6 linked regions of the Oryzias latipes genome follow. The protein of the gene in region 3 interacts with the protein of the main gene of each other region in a biochemical or structural test. Links are inferred from orthologs where the notes say so. Each region holds a gene or a part of one and is shown on either strand. Other genes may lie near its edges.

Region 1 (3,500 bases), on a different chromosome or scaffold from region 3:
CCAAATTTAAACAATATCATTACTCAAATGTAATGAAAGAATTAAAAAAATAGAAGTAAAATGTTGTTAAGGTTTTTTCTTTATCTTTTTTAATTCATTTATTGCATTTTGTTTATAATCCAGAAACACTTAAGAAATGTTGTCAATTCTTCATAGTTCAATATTAAGAGGAGTAAATACTTTTGACCAATCAGAGGTTTTGGTCAAAAACTGTTTGCCACCATCTAGGAAAAAAGTCGTAAAATTTCACAACCAAAATGTAAAAAAACTAAACTTAAAAAAGAAAAAAGTCTAACCTACATTTTTAAATGTATTTATTATTATGTTTACAATGTAAAAAAGTAAAGCAATTTGGAACTAGAAAGTTATCTGAAGGACATTATTTCTTGAATTTCAAGAATTTCAAGGATCTTAATTTTATTTTCACAACAGGGTGACATGAATTTGGTTCCTGGTCAGCCAACTACAGAGCAGTAAAAAAAAAAAAAAACTTAATCAAATATTGAAAAAGCTTTTCACAATATTGATTTAGGAGGCTTGTTGGCTTTTTTGCAGAACAGTTTCAGTTTAGACAGCTAACCATGCATCCACACTGCAGTGTCTGGCTCTCTTTGTTGTGGTGAGCTGGGGGTCAGGCTACAGAGGGCTCTTGCTTCCTGTGGCTGCAGAACGCCTCTGCTTGGTTGTCCACTGTGGATGTGGGCAGAATCCTGAGCATAAAGTCAGGAAACTGAGGTTCTGCATCATCTTTTTAGTCTTTTTTATGAAGCCAATATAAAAAAGAATCAGATTTAAGAGGGTGGGTATATCCAGTTTCGTGCATAGGAAGATGTGAGCTACAGAGAAATACTGCAAAGACAGGACGTGTGCAACATCCTATGTAGTTGACTGAAGTTTGGAGGTTGTATGTGTCATCGCATACATGTTCCAGACTGCACAATTTCATGCTGATCTTTCTTTAAGTCACAAGCTTCAGAACCTACAGGCTTCAACACAGTAAAAGTGACAGTTTTTTAGAAAATAAATTAGCACGCTGTGCCTCTACCCCCCCTCATAAAGGAAAATGTCACAAACTTTCTAAAGTGAAATGCTCCAGAACCCGGCAGCACCTGTTCAACGGAAGAACAGCGTGTTGGAGAAATAAGGCTTTGAGGGCGGATTGTGACTTCCTGTTGTGGCTTTTGTCAATCTGCAAGCTTCATGCAACCTTATCTAGTGGGCGCTTCATGCTTAAGGTCCTTTCCAAGAGAACATCATCCTCAGATTTCATTTTTTCAGAGCTGAAAGTTTAAGAACAAAAACATTGGTGCTTTGAGTTTTTTGTCAATGCTATTTGAGCACAACTGGGATAAGCAAAAGAGGTGAGAATTTTACATTTTTCTGTTTTTTCATGTTTTTTGAATAATTGGGCGAAGGAGAGGAAGTTTTTTGATTGAGCTGAGTGGAACAGGATGTGACTAAAAAGGTCAGAGGTCCCAGACGGGATTTACCTTTGTGTGTATTCATTAAAGGCTCCTCCACTGAACAAGCATGTTCTTCTGCCTCTCTAGTTTCCCAATCTGAACTTTATCCAGGGCTTCCAGAACCCCGACTAGCTGACATTCCAGGTTTCAGGATGTCCGTCGACCCCGCAATCGAACTGCCTTTCTTCTATGGAAGCATCAGTCGCTCAGATGCAGAGCAGCAACTGAAACTGGGTGGCATGGCCGATGGCCTCTTCTTGCTCCGACACTGTCTCCGTAATCTTGGAGGCTACGTCTTGTCAGTTGTGTGGAACCTGGAGTTTCACCACTACTCCATAGAGAAGCAGCTGAACGGGACTTACTGCATCGCAGGAGGGAAGCCTCACTGTGGACCGGCAGAGCTCTGTGAGTTTTACAGCAAAGATCCAGACGGTCTGGTGTGCATCCTGAGAAAACCTTGCTTGCGCCCTCCGAATACACCAATCAAGATGGGGGTGTTTGACAAAATAAGAGTGAACATGTTGAGGGAATACGTCAGGCAGACCTGGAACCTGGAGGTAAGATTCTGGTTATCTCTAAAAACTGTCATTTCAATATTCTCAGAACTGGTTCAAGTTTACTGCTCTTCATCCCATTTGACTTTTTGTTTGCTTTTAAGAAACATTTTTTGAGAATGCACAGCATAAAAAAGAGGACATCTTCTTTAAAGTCAACTGCAAGGACTGGGATTACTTGTTAGTATTGAAGGACAAGTAAAACCACAAACAGCTGTATTTTCTTCAATGGTTTATCCTCATTACATTTAGACTGACATTTAAACTTCCAGTGTCAGATTTCATGTCCAAACCAAAATATAGACACCTTTGTATAACATACCGGTAATAATCCAGACTTTTGTTCCTGTAAAAAATGTTGTTGGGAAAACTCATCACTTAAGTAACCACTACAATCACTCCTGAGTCCATCTACATGGGAGGAGGCCATCCAACATATAACAGAACTAACTCCATCTGGCTGGTTATACATTAATCCGGCCCAAAGTGGAAAAACTTTAAACTATTTGATCAATTTCTAGGTAGGGCTTGAGAAAACAGAAAAGTAACATCACTGTTGTTGAAAAGGCAACAGGAACATTTTACACACACATGGACATACTTCAGTGCCATTATCAAGATCAGTCAAAAAAAAAAAGAAATTGTCTCTTAGGATTCTTTGGGAGACAAAAAAATATTAAAAATGGAAAAAAAAATTTTTAATATTTAATAAAAGAACAGTTTGTATCATCTATTTTTTTTCTTTTTTAGTTCATTAATGGATAAAATGCTTTATCTCAGTCTGGAAAAACTGTCAAAAATTTCAAAATTGAACTTTAGCATTGATAGATAGATAGACAAAAAGGAAACATTTTAGACATCGTGTAAAGATGTAAAAATTAAAACTGTAAAACCGGGTGATACTGTTTTAAATTTTGTGGATTTCAACCATCTTGCAGCTAAAATTGTCTCCAAAAAGAAACGGATGCCATGCTTTTCAAACTCCTGCCATCTTAATCAATCAATTTAATATTCTAGCACTTTTTAAAATTTAAACCACCCTTTTTCTGTCAAGAAAGTCAAACAGAACTAACTCTACTGTTTCTGTTCATTCTAAAAGTATGTTTAAGCGTTGTGCCTGCACTAACACACTCAAAAATTAAGGCAATTTAAGGATACAAGATTTTTTTAAAGAAAATAGGAACAAAGAAAGGGTCAGTTTGGACAAATTGTACCTCCCCTGTAGCTTAAGACACTTAGCTTTGATTCACTTTAATGTGTTACACACTGTCTAGTTTCAACATCATCCCTCCTGCTGCGACCAATCTGAAGCAGACTGGCACCTTTTATGGGCTCTAGTTAAACAGTCAAACAAGTTCCAGTTGTTTGCAGGCTCAACTTGTTTTGCCAAACATCCCACCTTTTACCGCAATGCAGGCCCAATGTAGGTTTGCTGACTCTGAAAGCTTACCGATGGTTGCAAGTTGTGATGTGAACGTGCAGA
Region 2 (4,126 bases), on a different chromosome or scaffold from region 3:
TAGATAAGTTATCATGCAAATATATATAAATATATATCAAAGAAAAACAAATTCCTTAATGCTAAATGTGTGCAGAAGGCATGTTTACCAGCAGCATTGTGTTGGTGATAGTGGATGAGCTCAGGAATGGTGTTGAACAGATACTTTTCAGCCAAGTAGAACTGTCCTCCTTCCTCCTGCCTTATCTGATAATGTTTCACCCTGGGATTCTTTTCACCTTTTGATCTAAAAAATACATATGTATTTACATTTTAGAGCAACAAACATCATAAGAAAATAGCAAAATGTAAACTAATGTTTTTAAAAAAGACAGAAAAAGGGGATGTTTACTTATGTAGAACATGTTCAAACATACTAATGTAAAATAAAATGTCAGAAAGCACATTTTGTGTAGACTCTTTGAGTTGTATGTGGTTAAAATGACAGTTACCCGGGCGCTTTGGTGTAAACGGACACCGTGTAGACTCCTGCTTGTCTTGAGTCCCGCACCATGAATGCACCTTCTTTTCCCTGTAGTAAGAATGAAGATATTGCATAACACAGCTGACTGTCTTGCACACATCTCTTTTCTCACTTTTTTAAGATTTGTTGCTGGCCAAGCTCTTTGAAAGTGTCTGAGTCGCAGGAGGTGATGGGAGCGCAGTTCTCCCACCTGTTTGCAAAGTTCAGCAGACATTCTGTCAGCAGGAAATTCAGTTTTGAAGGAAACATCGCGGTTTTGAGAACAAATGTTCACGTCCCATGTCACTCCACAATGTCAGTTTGCAGGTGCATTATTTTTGCAAAAGCAAGATTTCTGTGGGCGGCACTATTGAAAAGTAAAGTGCGTCTTATCATGCCAGAGGAATTTTTTTTTTCTTTTACTTGATTTTTGAGATTACCAACCAGGTAATTTTCCATAAAGCACGACAAAGTTTAAAATAAATAAATAAATAAGTGGTTTATGCTCCTACCTTTTTCATTAACAAGTCTTCTGCCTCGGCTCTGTTAATGTGCTTGTTGTACCATCTGTAAAGCGACAAATCAACAAGTACATCTAAACAGTGTCTTGTAGATGTGTAAGATTAAATAAGATCTGACAAAACTCACTGAAATCTCTCAAAGTTTTTGCCACATTTTTCCGCAACGTACGTACTGGGCACAAAACCAGTTTTACTGTTAAGAAAAAAAAAATCACAAATATGTTCTTTAGAAATATTTAATTTTCAATGTATTGGTTTTTTAAAAGAAGGTCAAATCTGCTTTTTTATTTATTTATTTATTTTTTAAAGCCTTACCCCTTGTCGTCCTGCACAGCCCACCACTCAGAGTGGGAGCTGTTGATCAACAGGTACTCCTGATCTTTCTGGAGGGGCAAATCGTCGTCTCCCATGGGCACATAATCTTGCAAAGCTATGACCATCCCCTGTGTTGAAGGTTGTAATGACATCTGCAAAAATCAACCATATCTAAGAAACAATTCACTACTAAAAATTCATTCAAAAAGGCAAAAACAATGTACAAGACATGACTGGACTTTTACAGTTAGGGTAACATTTGATGAATAAACCGGCTGTCTCAGTTCTATTCAAATAAATCTACCAGATGTACAGAAAAGGCAAAGCAAAAAAAAGTCAAGTAACTTTGCTATGAATTGCTACAAATTGCTGTAAATTAACTGATTTGTCAGTTTTCAATGGCTGCATTAATAGAACATTAACATTTGAAGAGGTCTACCTCTGGATCTGGGAGTTGGGGAAGTGGCTTCTTAGTGACTGTGGATTAAGTAAACAGTGGAATTAGTAGTTAAGGCTTTTTCTTGCATATCACAAGCACTGACACAGAATCCTATGCAGAGTATAAAGATTTTAGCATCTAAAATGCAGATTTTTAGGCCACAATCCCTTTTTAGGGAGAATATTCACAAAGGTAAACAAATAAGAAATAAATATATGATAAATATATGAAATGGAACGTGTGAGATCTAATTGTAACTAAAAGAAGAAACAATAACAAATGAATACAAACCACAACCCACTGGATCATACACACGACAACCTGCTGCCAGTTTGTCAGTTTGTAGGCAGCATCTCCATTTTCCATCCATCCAGAAGTTTGTGTGGTATTTTGCAACCAAACTGTTATATTTAGTCTCTACATAGAAAGATGAACATATTTCTTTATATGCAGGTCAAGATATTAAAATTACAATGATACAAAGAGGTTCTGATTGAATTACCCTCCTTGAGGGCTTTGACCCATCTCATACGACAGTCGTTGTCTGGAGCAAAAATGTAGAGGTAATAGTTGTCATGAAGAACCTGCAAAGCATTTGTGATTTAAAGAAAATATGAGACAGAAATCTTCAAAATTCCTTTGAATTAAAAATGAAATAAATTATTTTTTAAGTTAAAAAACTGCGACTGGTACCTGAAATGGGTACTTGTATTGGCATGGTATGGGGATGTCACTACACACAATTTCCACACACTTAATACTGGACAGTTGAATGCAACCTTTTAGCATGGGCTTCTTCTGCAAGATCGTGCCATTTCCAAAAGTTGTCAGTTCAGTCAAGCTCAATTTGACAATTCCATGAAGCACACAAGCACTCACCCCCGAACGGCGCTCAGAATACTTCAGCTCCTGTGTGTCCAAAACAAAAAATCTCTCTTTGTAATTACACGGTGACGTTCTCTTCTTTTGCTGAGATTTTTTGATCATGGTTCCCTTCAAAATCACCCGAGGAAACATGGTTAGCAGTTGAGAATAACACCACTGGAGACACTGGGTGGTATTGGACGGAGTAACTGAAAGCCTCTGACTGCAGGGGGGAAAAAAAAGGGAGAATGCAAACATTGAAGATGCCGAAGAGTTTCCGGCGTGGGTTAGTTGCATGCAGTAAACCACATCCTTGTGGCAACACTCTGTGCAAGCAATCACACACTGATGTGCACACAAATACACACACGTATCATCACGTATGTTGTGTTAAACTCAATAAAGGTTTTTTTTTTAACATGAACCTTTGATGTACTATTGATCAAATTTTGCATAAAAATGTAAGCTTTTTGTCAGAATTGCTTGGTTGTTAAACAAAAATGTTTTAGAAAACAATTTAAATTTTCATATTAAATCAAAAGCTAAAAACAAAAATAACACTGTTAATCAATACCTAAGAAGCCATAGCTGGGGTTTTTTTTCGGAATTTTTAAATTTTCTTTTTTCTTCATTTAAAAGAAACTCTCCGCTTGTATCAAAATTGTAGTAAAAAAGTACTACTGAAGGAAAACTTAAAAATGAAAAAAATGCAATTTTTAAAAATGTAAAATGCATGATAAGTTATATCCTACAAACACTAAGAATGTCAAGGTTTCATGAATCACTAAATGCAGAAAACAGCAAAAGAGAAAAGTCTGGTTTCTAAGAAAAATGTATCCAAATACAATATGGAACCTTTGATGTACTTTTCATGAGGCTATGTTTTCTTTGGGGTTAGAAAGATTCTTATTTTTCTTTTCAATTTTGGTTCAAATACGATGTTCTTGTTTTGTTTTGCACACTCCGAAGCACAACCTTTGCCCTCTGCTAAATATTCACTAGGCCTATGACAACGTTTATAAAATAAAATGTTACATGTCATTCTTATTTAGTGTCAGGGTCAAGATGAAGTCAGCTTACTTATAATAGTTTGACCATTTTTATTTAAGTGTAAAAAAAAGAAAAAGAATGAATATTAGGTGTTGCTAATTGACTAAGTAGAAAATGAAACATAAAATTCAAAGTTAGACACTTTCACCTGCCCTACTGTATTTAGGGCGTAAAAACAAATGATAGATACATTTTTAAAATTAGAGTCCCCCTCCCCCCCCTTTTTTATGGTTACAGATCTGAACTTTTTTTGCTTGGGTTTGATTTCTTAAGCAGCTTATTTTAAGAACATATTTTAAGATTTATAGGCCTACCAGGATCAGAACCTGAACTCACTATATTAAACAAACAAAAACTAACAAAAAGTTTAAAACAATTAATACAGGAAAGAGATTAGTTTTGAATAAAACCCACTAATTATAAGGTTAATAATGAAATACTTTAAAGGCTTGTCGACGCAACCAATCAACGTCGAGTTTGTTTCCGGGTCACTGTC
Region 3 (3,500 bases):
CCGTGGAAATAGCTCAAATCCATGCGGGATATGCTGCAATCTGTATCTTGACTGAACGTAAATATGTGGGAATAACATCCGCCTTAATTATGTCTGGACATGATTGGAAACATGAATTCACATGATTGTTCACACGGTTTCTCAGGACTGAGCAGCATTTCTCCAATCAAAGCTGCCTCCGTTAGCTCACACACATCCAAGAACCGCTCCACTGTTGTGGGGAGACGCGGTTCTCCTGAGTCCAGCAGCTCGCTAAAGCAGAGCAGCCGGATGGACTGAAGCCTCCTCCGGAGCACACAGTAACAAAGCACCTCCCCTGCCTGCAATCGGCATAACCCACCTATCTCCATCGGAAAGAAATTTTGATCCAAATGACTGATCAGGGCAGAGTATTCAGAACGGCGTGTTTACATGACGCATTTTTATTCTGATCAGGCGTTCATTATGATTACTTTTGTCCATGTAAACGCAGCTAGTGGTTTGCTGGCTGCAACGCTCCTCTGTATCGCTGAGTTATCAGTTCTTAATGAGAAATGGTTGAAGACAGGTTTTACTGACAGCTCGGTAGAAGCTTTCTGCTCGGGTGCAGATCTTTTGGCTCCCTGCGTACTCACATCTCGGGATGAATGCCCTGGCAGAGTGGAAGCCAGGGGGCGGGGACTCAAAGCTGGAGGTGCGCTCATGTTAGACGTGTGGTTATCTCTTTTATCTGTGGAGGTATAAACATGGCTTTTGGTTACCTACTCAGGTAGTGGTATGCAGGCCTGAAGTCAACCATGTGCTTCATTGAGTACCAATATAATCCCCCTCCCCTATGGGGGACGTTGGGTAAAACTTGGTAACCCCATCATCCGATGGTGCTGAAGGCGGGGGCTCGTATTCGTTAGATGGGTCTTCGCTCGGGGACTCGTAGTTGTCACTTTCTTCCTTTTCATCACTGTACGGACTCTCATAGTCGTCGTCGTCTTCCTGTTGGCAAAAGAGGGTTTATAGATGTGATAGAAAGAAAAGAACAGAGGAAATGCTGTCAAACTGCATGAGAAACCTAAAATAAATAAATAAAAAGAAAAAAAAATGCATGCAACAAAACAAAAGAGTCAATAAAAATAGTAAAAATAATATTAAAAAAACCTAGTCAATCATTAAATGTAAAAATGTTTTAAAATAACATATAAATGACATTTACCAAACAAAAACAAGCATAACTCTTCCACAGTCTCTTTGAAGGAATAGAGTGGTCTACTTTGGGGAAAGATTCACTCAAGTCCAACAAATCCAGGACTGAAGACTTTCAATGTCTGACTTGGACCTGAAATGAGTAACCCTGACCTGGTTTTGTTTCATGCAGACCTGCATTTTAGAGTCAGACATCAGTTTTACCAAAACGGTTACTCAGCCTAATATGATCTTATCTGTTTTGCATTGTGTATCTCTGTGTTTTTCCAAAAATTGAAATTCCATCCATCCTCTGTTCCTGTTCAGGGCTGGGAGAGTCCTACACATTAATACACCAGTGGTGCCACATGGAGGCAGGGAGGGTCAAGTGTCTTGCCCAAGGACACAACGGCAGCTGACTGGGGGGAGCAGTGATCAAACCGCCAATCCTTCAATCATTGGCCGACCTGCTCAACCACCTGAGCCGCTGCGGCCATATCATAAATAAATGGAGGTGATCTGTAAGGGTGTTGCTGTTTCACAAAGCTCCCAAATTTCCAAAAGCTCTTCAGAAGCTGAAGGTTATGAGGAAAAATCAACTTACAAATTCATTATCGCTCCACCCTTGGGCCTCAGAGCTGGTGTCTGTAGAGCAGAAACCTGATCACAGGTAAAAAACAAAAAAATACACATCAGCAAAATTCTCTTGGAGAAACTAAGGAATTCTCAGTATAGGAGAAACTCACCTGCGTCAGGAAACACGGGGGCTTGTCTGTGGAAGACAGACATGGATCAGAACTTCACAGCAACTCATGCTCAGACTGGGTTCAGTGCATTCAGAAGCTTGATAAAAATCATGTCAGAAATGTCTTCATGGCCTCTGCAGACACATGATGAATCCTAACAGCAGCCTCTGCGGTGTTCAGCCCAGACTGAGCTTCCACAGTCCTATGTGCAAGTCTGGCTTTGTGAAGACACAAATTCTATTCACACTGGAAGAATCAGCTACAAACACATGTCAATCTAAGATGACCACCACAACTGAGTCCCCAATGTTTAAGTCAGGTTAAGGGAAACAGGAACGTACTTTTTACCAAACAGGCTTCTCTTCCCCTCGTTCCTGCGGATTTCATTACTGAGCTTGGAGATCATCCTGCGGACACACAAAAAGCATGAATCACACAAACTGCAGCAGCTTCCTCATGACCCGGTGTAGCAGATTCAGTACAGAACCAGCCCAGAACTGAACTGTTCTGATCTTTTTTCATATAGAACTTTCGTTTGTTTCTATGATTACAAATTCTTTTCTAAGCTGAAAATTGCTGCTTCGCTGCAGGCAAACTGTGAGTTTCCATGACCCTGTAAGCTGTGATCAGTGGACTCAACGGTTTCCTTAAAAACTGTTGTGAAGATGTTTTTGGGTCAGCCACTCTCTGGCTGCCTTCCCTCTTTAGGCAGCTTTCTCTCTGAAGACTCTAATGTGTGCTCACGCAGCTCGTCAGGATTTTCAGACTGGGCCCAAGTGACATGAAGGACCCACATGAGTCAGATCTGTAGGGGAAGATAGCTGTCAAAAGAACGTGTATGCATACATACAAAACTGTACACAAAAAAATAAAAATGCAAGATTTTGTTTTATGTAGCTCGTGAAACCAAATTTCTCCTGTTACATTGATGTCCTCACTCCTAAATCTTCCACAGTTAACTGTCAGCTCTATAAGAACAACACGGAAGATTTTGGGAACAACAGCAACTCAACTACCAAGTGGTAGACCACGTAACCTGATGGAGAGGGGTGAGCGGATGCTGAAGCGCGTAGTGCAAAGAGGTCACCGACTTTCTGTACAGTCAATTTCTACAGAGCTCCAAACTTCATGTGACCTTCAGATTAGCCCGAGTTCAGCATGCAGAGAACTTCATGGAATGGTTTTCCATGGTCGAGCAGCTGCATCCAAGCCACACGTCACCAAGTGCAATGCAAAGCGTCGGGTGCAGAGGTGAAAAGCACGCCGCCACTGGACTCTAGAGCAGTGGAGACGCCTTCTCTGGAGAGACGAATCACACTTTTCCATCCAGCAATCTGATGGACGAGTCTGGGTTTGGAAGTGGCCAGTAGAACGGTACATTTGGGACTGTTTTGTGCCGAGTGTGAAATTTGGTGGAGGAAGAATTATGGCGTGGTAATTTAGGCTTGGCCCCTTAGTTCCAGTGAAAGGAACTCTGAATGCTTCATGATACCAAAACATTTTGGACAATTCCATGCTCCAACCTTGTGGGAACCGTTTGGAGTGGCCCCTTCCTCTTCCAACATGACTGTGGACCAGTGACTAAAGCAAGGTCCATAA
Region 4 (3,951 bases), on a different chromosome or scaffold from region 3:
CCTGGCTACAGCTGCGAGCTTATCAAATATCGAAGTCAATCGATCCTATTAAAAGATTTTTGGCAGCATGTGTAACAACAAATTTATTTTCCATATTTTTAAGCTCAACTTGGGCGGCCAAAGGAGGAGAAATATTAGAAAAATGCGGCTTTAGCATCGGAATAAATAAAAAATCAGATTTAATAGACAATTTTACAAACAAAAATAACATTTTTGGTTCATCAAACTGTCGATCAAGCTTTCAGACTCTTTTTTTTTTTTTTTTTTTTTTTTTTTACATAAAAACATGTTTTTTCTGTTAGAATTATTGTTTTTTAATCCAAATGAAAGGATAAGAATTAACCAAAATGCATTTTTTTCTAAGAAAGTGGCCTTGGGAGTAAGTAGATCATTTAGAGCTGTGCACTTTTTCACACAAAATTGGAAAGTGCTAACTGTTTTCACAAAGTGGAGCTTGGAAAGGGATCTTTTGCTGTAAGAAGTTACAGATAAGACATCTAAAATGAGCAAATCTGACTAATTTTCTGCTGTTGTTCAAAGAAGATGCAACCACGTCTTTTGGAGTTCTGTAACAACCTTTTTTTTCAATCCGCAAAGTTTTATAAATTATAAGAATCGCTTCCATTGCTGCTACTTTTACTCACTTTAAGAAAAGGCCTCCAACAAAACTGGCATGTGTGCGTAGATCATTCGCATCAAAATATAGGCCCTGGCGGGAGCCTGCAGCTCTCAGCTTATTTTCTTATCATCAAATAAAGGCTGCAAAACTTGAAAGAAGTTTTGCAGATGCAGCTCATGTGCTGCATCTGTTCACACCAGACATTACCTGACAGACAGGGAGAAATCTCCAACGTTTTTCTTGCTGGGTCGAGCTAAAAAGCTTCCGTCAATGCCTCGCAGCTTCAGTATTTCCTCAGCCTGCAGGCCTGTGATGTCTCTGTGGAACCACCTGGATCGACGCACAAAGATAGAAAAGATGAAGCACAACAACATTGACCTAGTAGAAGGCATACATGTGTCACATAGATTTAAAATGTACAGCTTTAAATAGACCAAGAAAATCCAGGTGCACGCATACGCAAAAGAGAGATGGGAGTTTCTCGACAAGATCAGGGGTGCAAGAAAGTGTAAAGATGGAGAGAAAAGCTGTACTTTTTAATAAAAGAAGGGAAGAAATTCAGGTGATGATCTTTTAAACATTATTAGGTTTCATTACAATCTTGAGTAGATTCTTTGTAAAAATCCTCAAAATCAACATATTCATTTTTATATTTTTTGTTTTAGAGTCTCAAACATAAATAATACTAAGGCAGAGGGTGACTTTAACGTGATAAATTAAAGGTTTTATTAAAGCCTTTGGTTTCACTGGCCTAAGAAAGATAAAAGACAATTTCATGTGATGAACCACAGTCCAAATCCTTGATCCAATAAGGGTTTAACATAAACCTTCAGAAACTATTTTCACTTTACCTACATGCAATTTGTTGATCATCAGGAAAACAAAGCGTGCATTAGGGCATAGTCAGTAATGCTGACGTACTTTAATAAATTATGTTGCTTTACAGCCTTATTAGCTAGACGAATAACCAGGTTTTTAAAATCTGACATATTGCACAAAAAAGGTTAATAACTGTTTTCGAACACATGATCTGTCTGACACTGTGGAGCTTTGAGGAAACAACAGAACTGAAACCTAAACACTTTATTTATGTCCCAGTCTCTTATACTGAACTTGCAGGGTTTAGCTGACGAGGGATCACAAATGACATGACAGAAGAGGAGCAGGACAGGCCAGCAGCAGGGAATAGACAAAAGGAGGAATGGAAACAGAGAAGTTGTTGCACAAAACACAAAGAACAAAACCAGAGTTTGATGTGTCCGGCAGAGGCTTGACTCACCGAACCATGGCGTCTCCTCACTTTTTCTGGGACTAAAGAGAAGAAGAGCGATTTGGGAAGAGTCGCTTGTTCCTGCGGCACATGTGTAGACTCAGATCACACACTTTGGCGTTGAAAGTTTGTGTAGTTTTTGCAGCTTCCTTACTTTTGGTCTACTTGAATTGTACATTTACCGCAAACACATTTGGTATGTCAAGCGCTAACTTGACCTTCAACTTAAGATATTTTTATCAAGAATCAATTAAATCTAATTGCCTTTGCTCTCCCTCTGGTGTAACACATTAACTTAATACCCACCCCTGCCCCGCCACCACCCACCAGCGGACCGCCGCTGACCCCGGTTCTCAGTCTTCCCTTCAACAGCAAAAGCAGGTAAACACTTACTCTCCTCAGCTGCTCCTGAAAACAACTGACACTGGTCGAGACGTTGACGCTGTATGTGTCTGTCTCCCCTCCTCTGCGTCGTGCTCATACGCTCTCCCCTTCCTTCCTTTCTACGTCTCCTTTCACAAAGTAGTGAAAGCAAGACAGGAACCAAAATAGCTGACAGGCCGGAATTCCTCAAGCAGATAAAGATGGTGTCTTTTTTTTTTCTTTTTCTTTTATTGATGACCAAAATAAAAACGTTGCCAATCTAAGAGCAGAGAAGGCTTCAACTCCATCACCTCCGTCTTCTGGAAAAACAGCTGCAGAGCTTCTTTAGATGACTCCTCTGTTCAGAGCTGTGAGACAACGGCAATTCCAACAGGCGTATGGTTGAAAAACACCCTCCAAAAAGGCAGTTCCATCTCCTCATCAATGCACAAATATGCCCGCTCTTTGTCTAACAGAAAGTATTTGCAAAGTTTCCTCCACCTGTCGGCTGAATCTGCCCTCTGTTCTTTACTTCCAGGTGTGTACGAGTGTGCGAAACACAAAGGTCAGAACAGAACACTTCCTCATTTGAACCTTCCCCCCTCTGCATGTGTGAGGCTGCATGTGTGCGTGTGCTGCTGCAAGCTGATATATCATGTGCTGTTGTCAACTGTTTTAATTTAAAGAACGCCGATCCAGCACCTTGAAAATTGCTGCTTTATCCTTATACGGAGTAAATTATCTGCAGCCACAAACACAAAGTACATATTGTGACTTTTAGGGGAGTTTTTTGTATCCCTAAAAACAACACAAAAATTTGCGTAGAAGCAAATGCACAACAAATGAAAATGCAAATACAGTAGCAATTATTTCATGAATTCCTCACAACCAGATAGCATGTAAGTGGAAAATAATGGTTTCCTACATGAGGTGTAAAATCGTTCAGTGACTAGCGGACTTTGGTGGTTTTATGTGTTTGCAGCAAAAAATTAAAGGAAAAAGTGAATAAGTGTGTAGTTTCTAGTACATGGTGCAGCTCTCCCCGCCCCTGCACCAACAAACACACACATGCAGCCCTGCAGGTGTCGTCGGGGTTAACGCCCGCTATTGTTGTTTGCATTATTTGCCTCACTTGCGCTTTGCAGTCAGACTTGGTTTGGGGTCTCTTTGTTTCTCAGATGTTAAGGCTTCAAATCTCAGACAAAGGCAGACGTTTTTCACACACGTATAGAATGGCTGTACACCTACAGTGATGGAAAAAAGGTTCCTGATTTGATCTTTTCACTTGGGCTATCAGGTTTGCTTGCACTGCGCTGCAAACTGATACTTTGAGCATTTTCTGCCTCATAAAAAAGGTGAACAGAGAAACATCTATAGTTTGTTGATCTTATTAAATGAACCAATCAGTAGGAATAGAATTGATTGAGTGCATGTTTTTTCTTCAGGGAAAAACAACTCCTTTATTTTGATTTTAGATATTTAGTTACTTTAAGCCCTGCAACAAATTGGCTGCTTCTCCAGGGTTTATCCAACAGTAACAGGGATAGGCTCCAACAACCCTATGACCCTGAAAGGGATTCAGCAGGTTCAGAGAACTGATGGATGGATTGTAGCTTTGAAGTCGGTTTAATGGTTGTTGTTACTTTAAATGTTATTGTTGCTTTTGATGTTTAAAAGTCTGAATATCATATTTAAAATG
Region 5 (4,295 bases), on a different chromosome or scaffold from region 3:
CCTCTGGGTATTTATAAAGGCTATAAAGGAGGTCATGTCTTATTAACGTCTGGCACTATAAAACAAGCATGCTTCACTAACAGCCCAGCAGGTGGCATTCATGATCTACTTCAGTAATCTGACTGCTAAGGGCAGTAGAAGCAAGTAAACTACAAATTCAATTATTGGGATAATTAGTTGAAAAAAAAGATAAATTAACACCATCTGATGACTTCCCTTTTCTCTCTGGTTTAAAGAAATCACAAAAAACATTTGACATTTTATCTTAAAGTCAGCAACAACCGGACAATATCTGTGGAATTTGCACAAACATTGTCACCTGACTTAGTTTTAAAAAGAACAAATTTCCATTATCTGTAACTCCACAAAGTGGTTTTAGTGTCAAAATTCAAATTAAAAACAAAATCTAGTTTAGTCTTTCCGTTCTAAAGTGGAGAACCCAATGTGTCCATAATCTTTTTTTTTTATTTATTTGACCTTTTTATTTTTTATTTTGGCAGGCTCATTGTTTCAAATAAAGCTTAAAGCTTGACAACATGGATTTGTGTGTGTTTGAACCATAACAAGCGCTGCAGTTGCTGCAGGCTTGCTTTGAGTTGGGATCTTTCGGCGGGTAGACTGAACTTGTAGTAGAGGTCCATCTGCTTAAGCAGGAAACAGATTGCATCCTGCAACAAGCTGCAGAACCCTCCAAATTACTCTGCGACTCTCTTCACCACAGACCTGTTTATTAAATATGTCATTGTTTGAGGGGAGGGCGTTGAGTTCAGAGGCGTTGGAGGATGAGTTATTGTGCCAATATCTATTTGGGTGTGTCTGTGCCTTGACTCTGCAAGTGACTGAGCATTTTGTTGGTCATGAAAAACAACATGATTGTCTAAAACACTGCAGAATCCTAAATTCTAACAATTTGCTTTAATGCTTGTCAAATGAACTTTCACTTTTAATACGAAACAAAACAAATTTTCCAGGAAAAAAAGTGGATTGTTTTTCAGCAGTTGTATTAGACCCTTTTTGAAAGTAATCTGTATTTAAAATGTATTTTTTACAAAACTATGTCTGACTAAGGTTAAAAATGGAATTCATGTTTTCAATATTTAGGATAATAGCCTTAATATCAGCCTAAATGTAACAATATGTTTTCAAACAAACAGTAGCTGGTTGAATATCAGTGCATGTAAAATCAAATGTAATGATTAACTTTTCTTGAAACATGCAGGAATGTGATTGTTGTGGGGGCTACACACAACTTTTCTGAGGTACAGATTGGTCTAATTTGACCCGTTATCTGAAAAATCAAATATAATTTCTTTATTTTAATTTGCTTTCTCTCTTTGATTTCTTCTTTTTTATCCGAGTAGAAATAACTGTTTCCTAAAACAAAGCAGAACATTCAACTGCAGTGTAAATGATTGACAGGTGAGTTGTCCAATAGGAACGGAGTGGATTCTCCAGCAGCCAATCCCGTTGGAGTAAGGGAGGCTGAGACTGCGGCTAGCTAGCTAGCTTAGCCGTGCAGTAGCAGTGATACGGTCTGATGCAGAAATGCCACACTAGCGAGCAAAGCGTCTCCTCAGCTAGGCTAGCTTCTTGGATTGGTTATGGTGACTTGCTCCTAGCTAGCGGGCATCCTTTTTTTCTCGAGTATTTTTTCTTAAGACCCTTTTCTAAAAATCCTTTCCAGAGAGAAGAGAGAATTGGAGGCGGCCATCAGTAGTCAGGTAAGAGACGTGGTTTGAATAAATATCTGGCTTGTTGAATTTATGCCCCGCTGCCTGCAGATCCACGCTGCTGCCGCTGAAACGTTTGTCCTGAGTAATATAAACTAGCTCCTGATCTCACTGAAACCAACATTAAAGCTCACACAGGCTAAAGGTTAAGACTTAACCAAACTGATCAAAAATACTAATCAGCCTTAGTAGCTGTAACGGTTTCATGTAATCCCTCTGCGGTATACATTTTTTTCTTTCTTTCTTTTTTTTAAGCCACGTTGGATGTATTGACACGCTGTCAAGCTAAAGTTATGACATTAAATCTAAAAACTGAAGTTTAGCAAAAGACTGACGCATTTGAAAGCATTTAGTAAAAAAAATGAAGCGTTTTGTGACTGTATAGTGTCATTTTATTGCATATATTGTAATATTATTTAATGACTTGTGTTATTTTGACTGTAGCATCTTAAAATAAAGTTCAAGCTTAAGGGTTGAAGTTCCTCTCCATCTCAGCTTGTATCAAAAATATCATTATTAATGCGTTTTTTAAAAAAATGATTTTACACAAAAAAAAATAACAAACATGTTTTATTTGAAAAAAGAGCATTTTTTGTCTCCCAAAATCCACCTAGAGTTGCTTCTTCATGGTGCCAGTATTTTCCCCAACCAAATGGCTCTTTGGATTTCTCTTTTGTTTATTTGAAGTCCTTTGGATGGGGATGTTCATGGGATGCAAGGGAGTAACATATCCAAACACCAGCAGCTGCTGAACACTGGCTTCTTTTGTTGTTGTCAACACTGAAGGTTTCTGAGAGAAACACTTTGTCTTCTGGAATCCTGTCCAGATTAAAAAGTCATGTGGAGGTTAGGCACACTTTAAAGAGGGGGTGATGTCTTATCAGCCTGTTTTAACGTGCTAAAATGTGCATTTTTATACCCATAAACGGGAATAGCCACAGGTTGAGGTGCTTGGAAAAGTTGCAGCTGTCAGCTGTCACTGTTGAGGTTTCCTCTTGAAGCCGGCTTTCAGTGTAGACGTGCACGCTTTGCAGTAACGGTAGTTTGTCTTCATCTAAGGCCTGCTTCTGTGGATCTCCCCCCTCATCCCCACCGATTGCACACATATGTTATTACACTAAAACCTTCTGGATATGGAATGATGATCTCATTTTATAGAATATCCTTTTGTCATCTCTTTTCTTGCGTCTGCCTGCACTTCCTGTCTCCACCAAGTCGAACTCAAGTCGAAGGGGAAAATATCAAATGGGCATTTTATGAGAGCCAGAAAACTCCACTGGCTTGCAGTTTGCCTCGTGAAATAAGTCGTTTTACTGATCTCTCTTCATGAGTTCTTTGCTAAAAATGTAAAGAAGTGGGGCGTTTTAAATGTCGATATTCTCTCCTTTTTTCCCTCCCAAATAGAGTTATTGCAACATTTTTCAATGCATTTCCTCTTTTTTTCTGGATTCAGTTTTGAAAAACCCTTTTGCGTCGATTGCTCTTGCATGTCAACATGTTTCGACATTTCATAACCCTTTCTTGTGCAAATAGACACAATCTAGAGAAGATTTCTTTGTTAGATAGTTTATCCAAAAAAAAAAAAAAAAAGATATGCCGCATTGTTTAGTTTTGGATGTACTCTGAGGAGAAGTTTCCATTAATGGCTTTCTTTGTGGTAGCTTTTTCTCACTTCTGCAAAGGTTTAGCACCTGAGTGCGGTTTGAATGTCTGCTATCGATTTTAATTTTAGGTTAATTATAAGGTTTCCTGTTAAAATAAGTACTTTCAGTTGTGCTTTATTTCGGTCATACTTCATGATGGTTTGGGGGTTTTCTTTCAGTGGCTTTGGACGAGTAAAATTGAGGATGTGGGCACTTGAGCAACAGTGACTTCATATTGTTATGGACAAACCCTGCTGCAGTTATGACAAAAAAGGGAAATTAGTCATATTTTAGTCTTTATAGAAAATACGTTTCCATTATGATAAAAAAACAAACCTTTGCAGGCATTGTTTTTTTTAAATAATTATTTAATTTTTACGCTTTTATTCCAATTCTGATTAGGAGCATACTATCAAATTGAAAACTCTACATCACTGATTTTGTTGTAAAAAGGAAGAAATCTGTGTATTTTGTGATTTAAAAACAATACAATTTGACCCCTAAGGTGACTATTGGATGGATGGATAGATAGGATGATGGATGGATGGATGAACGGACGAATAGATCGATAGATGGATAGAAAGATAAATGATGGATAGATAGATGGTTGGATGGATCAATGGATAGATGGATGGATGGATGGATCAATCGATGGATGAACTGACTAATAGATAGATGTATGGAAGGATTGAAAGATTGATGAATAGCAGGATGATGGATGGATGGATGAATAGGTTGATAGATGGATAGAAAGATGGATGATGGATAGATCGATGGATGGATGGATCAATCGATGGATGAATGGACAAATAAATAGATAGATGTATGGATGGATGGATGGATAGATAGATTGATGAATAGAAGGATGATGGATGAATGGACGAATAGATCGATAGATGGATAGAAAGATGGATGATAGATG
Region 6 (2,941 bases), on a different chromosome or scaffold from region 3:
AGAGGAACATTTTCTGTGCCGAGTTTCTTAACACATGCCAGCGTAATTCATCCATGCTGTAGGAAAATTCGTAAATGTCCTTTAACGTAAAAATAAGTATTTTCTAAACGTAATAAACGTGAATCCACCGTGTCTGCATCTTTATCAGATTTATGCAGAGCGGCTTCTGGTACGCGGGAACGACTGTGAATCTGTATTTGGAGGAAGACTTCTGGTTTTGTCTGTAAATAAGGTCTCAATTTTTCGATGAATTGGAAGAGTCTTCTTTGGTTTCCCTGCAGACTCTTTTCTCCCCAAAGAAACTTTCCAAATACATTTATTTGTTGGTTTTATTAGCTTTTAAGCGTTGAACAGCTGCCTAAAGTCATGTGACGCGTCCAGACAGACGGATGTGGTGAACAAAATTCGGTAGTTTTCCAAAATAAAACTTCCTTTAGTATCAGAAAATAGACAAAACAGAAATAATCGGAGTTGGAGTATGTATTTTTGTTCTGTCTGCTACCCTAACCCTGATACCGGTCCTGGGTTTGGGGGACCGCTGCTTTAGACGTCTTGTCTGATTCTTCGTCACAGCATCGCAGTCTTCTCCGTTGCATTTACAGTTGATCTCCAATGCATTGGACTGAGAGGCCGTGGTCGGACGCCGGAGCCTCCACAGCTCCACGCCTGAATGTTTCCCGTTAAACGGCGGCATTAATGTCGATGCATTCACTCAGAACTGGACCAAACGTGTTGTTTAGTGCAGCCATCTCAATCCAATCACGAGAAAAAGCTTTTAGCAAAAGAAAGAAGGCGCACAAGCATTGAAGAGCTGCTTTTACAACATCTGAATTGATTTGAATCCATCACAGAACATTCACATGAATGTCTATTTTTAACAACTGTGACTAAAAAGAACAGAGTGCAGCAGAGCAGGAGAGGTTTTTACTACTATATTCTTTTGTTTCTGCAGAATTAAACTCCACATACCACATAAATATATGTTTGGCTGAGTTTGCAACTTGTCCTGAGGTGCGACTGATATGTATAAAAAAAAAAAATCAATAGCAACAACCACGAGAGGGCGCTGTAGATGTGCGCATCAGCATTTCCTACTGACAGCGTGACAGAAGAAGTGGCGCTCAGTCCAACACCAGGCTTGGCGTGAAGTGTGACGCATTTGTGATCTTTTTCTTCTTTCTTGCTCCTGTGACTGTCAAGTCTGGAGCGACTCATAGTCCAAAAAGATACAGTAATTTGTCAAAATGTAAGTTTTTATATAAATAAAAGTACGCATTTTTAACAGCTTTCCATGTATTGGATCATACCACGATGAAGTCTGGATGGTACATAGTCTTGAATGCGTTTAGGATTTGATTGTTATTAGTATTTTCAGTGCTGCTCTCCACAAAACCATGAAACACCTTTGTGACTAATATGAACATGCAGGAATGAAATGATCTCACATTCATCTTTAAAGCGCTTCTGTGTAATCCTGTACTCCAAATGTCAGTTTAACCGTTTGTGACACTGAAATGTGGCCGATGGCACAGCGTAGCTGCAATAAGAAATACTTTTCAAAGTTAAAACGACCACAACAACAACAAAAAAAAGGTTCTGCTCTAGTTTACGTCCATAAAGTCTTTAAAAAGAAAACCTGTGACATTTAGATTTTACGATGCATCATAAAAATGGATCAGCTAAAAGAAAGAAAGCTCTGATGCGAATCAGAAGCATTAGGTGCAGTCATGTGACCTCGGCATGTGGTGACCTCAGAGTGGTTTTTTTACACCCACGGTTCCACGCCAAAGATCCGCTCCACGGCAGGTCTTCCGCTGAGCTCACATGTGGTCGGGCTGCAAACCCATATGCTGGGACATTTGTGTCTTCATGTATTTGCACAGAAGGTGCACATGGACAGTCAGTGTGCTCCATCAACACAGAAACCAATCCTTAAGCCCCATTTTTAAAGAACAGTTTAGTGGGATGTCTTACCTGGGGAACCTGCTCTATGTCTCGCAGAAAGATTTGCTGATTGCGGGAGACTGAGGTGGTGCGGTGGTAATCGACCAACTCATTGAGAGAGTTAAACTTCACCACCCATAGGAAATACTTTCCAGCTCCATCGCGGAGAACCTTGAAGTGCTGCACGTCATTTCCAAACCTGCAGAGAACAGAAACTCAGACTCTGAACAGTGTGGTGGAGAAGCAGCTAAATGAAAGAGAGTGGAGGGAAGCAAAGAAAAAAAATGCTCCTAAAAACATTTTTATTACTAAATGAAAAAACAAAAGCAGAAAAATTGTAGTTTTATCAGAAATTTGTTTTCTAAAAACATTTTTAAAAACTGGAAATAAGGGAAAAACCACAAGTGACTCAAACTCCGAGAACATAAATTTGTTCAGAAATGAGGAAGCACGTCACGCCCAGGTTGAAGGGGAAAAATATGAATGGAAAAACTAATGCGAGTAATTTTTTCCTGGATTGTGGCGTCAGAGTGCGGCCGCTCACTTGACAGACAGGGAGAAGTCCCCCGGTGCGCTCTCGCTCTCTCTGATGAGGAAGGCCCCATCGAGCCTCTGCTTGTTCAGCATCTCCTCCGCTTTGGCGCGAGGAATCTTCCCGAAGAACCACCTGGAGGACGGCAAACACAACAAGAACTTAGTTTACACATGGGACTTTAAATCAATAACCATTTTGGTTTGGGATCACTAAGTTGATGCAAACGTGCAGAAGAAACCGTATGGAAGACACCTCTGATGCTACGTTCACACCGCCTTAAGCGACACAGGTTCAAGCATCCACTTCAGATGAAAAGTCTATGGAAACGCTCCTAAATATGGGTTTGGGCCTTCCGCAATCAAAACTCACACATTTACGCGTAGCTATGAAAGCTTTTACGACCATTTTTCAGGCTCCATGTAGAAAACGCGCTGCCACTGAATGCGTGTTGAAAGTTAAACC

The links.
Region 1: of the proteins of lcp2 (region 3) and tyrosine-protein kinase ZAP-70, one has a biochemical effect on the other in vitro, tested with the Homo sapiens proteins (2 studies listed by BioGRID). The link is inferred for Oryzias latipes from reciprocal best matches to the Homo sapiens genes LCP2 and ZAP70.
Region 2: the proteins of lcp2 (region 3) and itk form a complex in vitro, tested with the Homo sapiens proteins (2 studies listed by BioGRID, with this or other methods). The link is inferred for Oryzias latipes from reciprocal best matches to the Homo sapiens genes LCP2 and ITK.
Region 4: the proteins of lcp2 (region 3) and ptpn6 form a complex in vitro, tested with the Homo sapiens proteins (2 studies listed by BioGRID). The link is inferred for Oryzias latipes from reciprocal best matches to the Homo sapiens genes LCP2 and PTPN6.
Region 5: the proteins of lcp2 (region 3) and nck1 form a complex in vitro, tested with the Homo sapiens proteins (2 studies listed by BioGRID and IntAct, with this or other methods). The link is inferred for Oryzias latipes from reciprocal best matches to the Homo sapiens genes LCP2 and NCK1.
Region 6: the proteins of lcp2 (region 3) and grb2 form a complex in vitro, tested with the Homo sapiens proteins (4 studies listed by BioGRID and IntAct, with this or other methods). The link is inferred for Oryzias latipes from reciprocal best matches to the Homo sapiens genes LCP2 and GRB2.

The regions. Positions count from the first base shown.
Region 1 is NC_019862.2:14,807,314-14,810,813, reverse strand, and holds part of tyrosine-protein kinase ZAP-70, read left to right. Parts: exon of another isoform or gene 1-1,465; intron 1,466-1,550; exon of another isoform or gene 1,551-1,574; coding exon 1,575-2,020; intron 2,021-3,500. UniProt on the Homo sapiens protein: Tyrosine kinase that plays an essential role in regulation of the adaptive immune response. Regulates motility, adhesion and cytokine expression of mature T-cells, as well as thymocyte development.
Region 2 is NC_019868.2:21,188,700-21,192,825, reverse strand, and holds the start of itk (tyrosine-protein kinase ITK/TSK), read right to left. Parts: upstream 2,801-4,126; 5' UTR 2,734-2,800; coding exon 2,596-2,733; intron 2,515-2,595; coding exon 2,410-2,514; intron 2,301-2,409; coding exon 2,219-2,300; intron 2,134-2,218; coding exon 2,008-2,133; intron 1,755-2,007; coding exon 1,717-1,754; intron 1,430-1,716; coding exon 1,278-1,429; intron 1,156-1,277; coding exon 1,090-1,155; intron 1,009-1,089; coding exon 954-1,008; intron 511-953; coding exon 431-510; intron 226-430; coding exon 89-225; intron 1-88. UniProt on the Homo sapiens protein: Tyrosine kinase that plays an essential role in regulation of the adaptive immune response. Regulates the development, function and differentiation of conventional T-cells and nonconventional NKT-cells.
Region 3 is NC_019872.2:3,251,002-3,254,501, forward strand, and holds part of lcp2 (lymphocyte cytosolic protein 2), read right to left. Parts: intron 2,309-3,500; coding exon 2,243-2,308; intron 1,928-2,242; coding exon 1,902-1,927; intron 1,816-1,901; coding exon 1,760-1,815; intron 970-1,759; coding exon 795-969; intron 710-794; coding exon 615-709; intron 1-614. UniProt on the Homo sapiens protein: Adapter protein primarily involved in signaling pathways within T-cells, as well as other immune cells such as platelets, mast cells, and natural killer (NK) cells.
Region 4 is NC_019874.2:20,377,659-20,381,609, forward strand, and holds the start of ptpn6 (tyrosine-protein phosphatase non-receptor type 6), read right to left. Parts: upstream 2,801-3,951; 5' UTR 2,283-2,800; intron 1,971-2,282; 5' UTR 1,907-1,970; coding exon 1,899-1,906; intron 950-1,898; coding exon 827-949; intron 1-826. UniProt on the Homo sapiens protein: Tyrosine phosphatase enzyme that plays important roles in controlling immune signaling pathways and fundamental physiological processes such as hematopoiesis.
Region 5 is NC_019878.2:18,398,983-18,403,277, forward strand, and holds the start of nck1 (cytoplasmic protein NCK1), read left to right. Parts: upstream 1-1,495; 5' UTR 1,496-1,721; intron 1,722-4,295. UniProt on the Homo sapiens protein: Adapter protein which associates with tyrosine-phosphorylated growth factor receptors, such as KDR and PDGFRB, or their cellular substrates. Maintains low levels of EIF2S1 phosphorylation by promoting its dephosphorylation by PP1.
Region 6 is NC_019866.2:20,735,366-20,738,306, forward strand, and holds part of grb2 (growth factor receptor-bound protein 2), read right to left. Parts: intron 2,612-2,941; coding exon 2,489-2,611; intron 2,144-2,488; coding exon 1,975-2,143; intron 1-1,974. UniProt on the Homo sapiens protein: Non-enzymatic adapter protein that plays a pivotal role in precisely regulated signaling cascades from cell surface receptors to cellular responses, including signaling transduction and gene expression.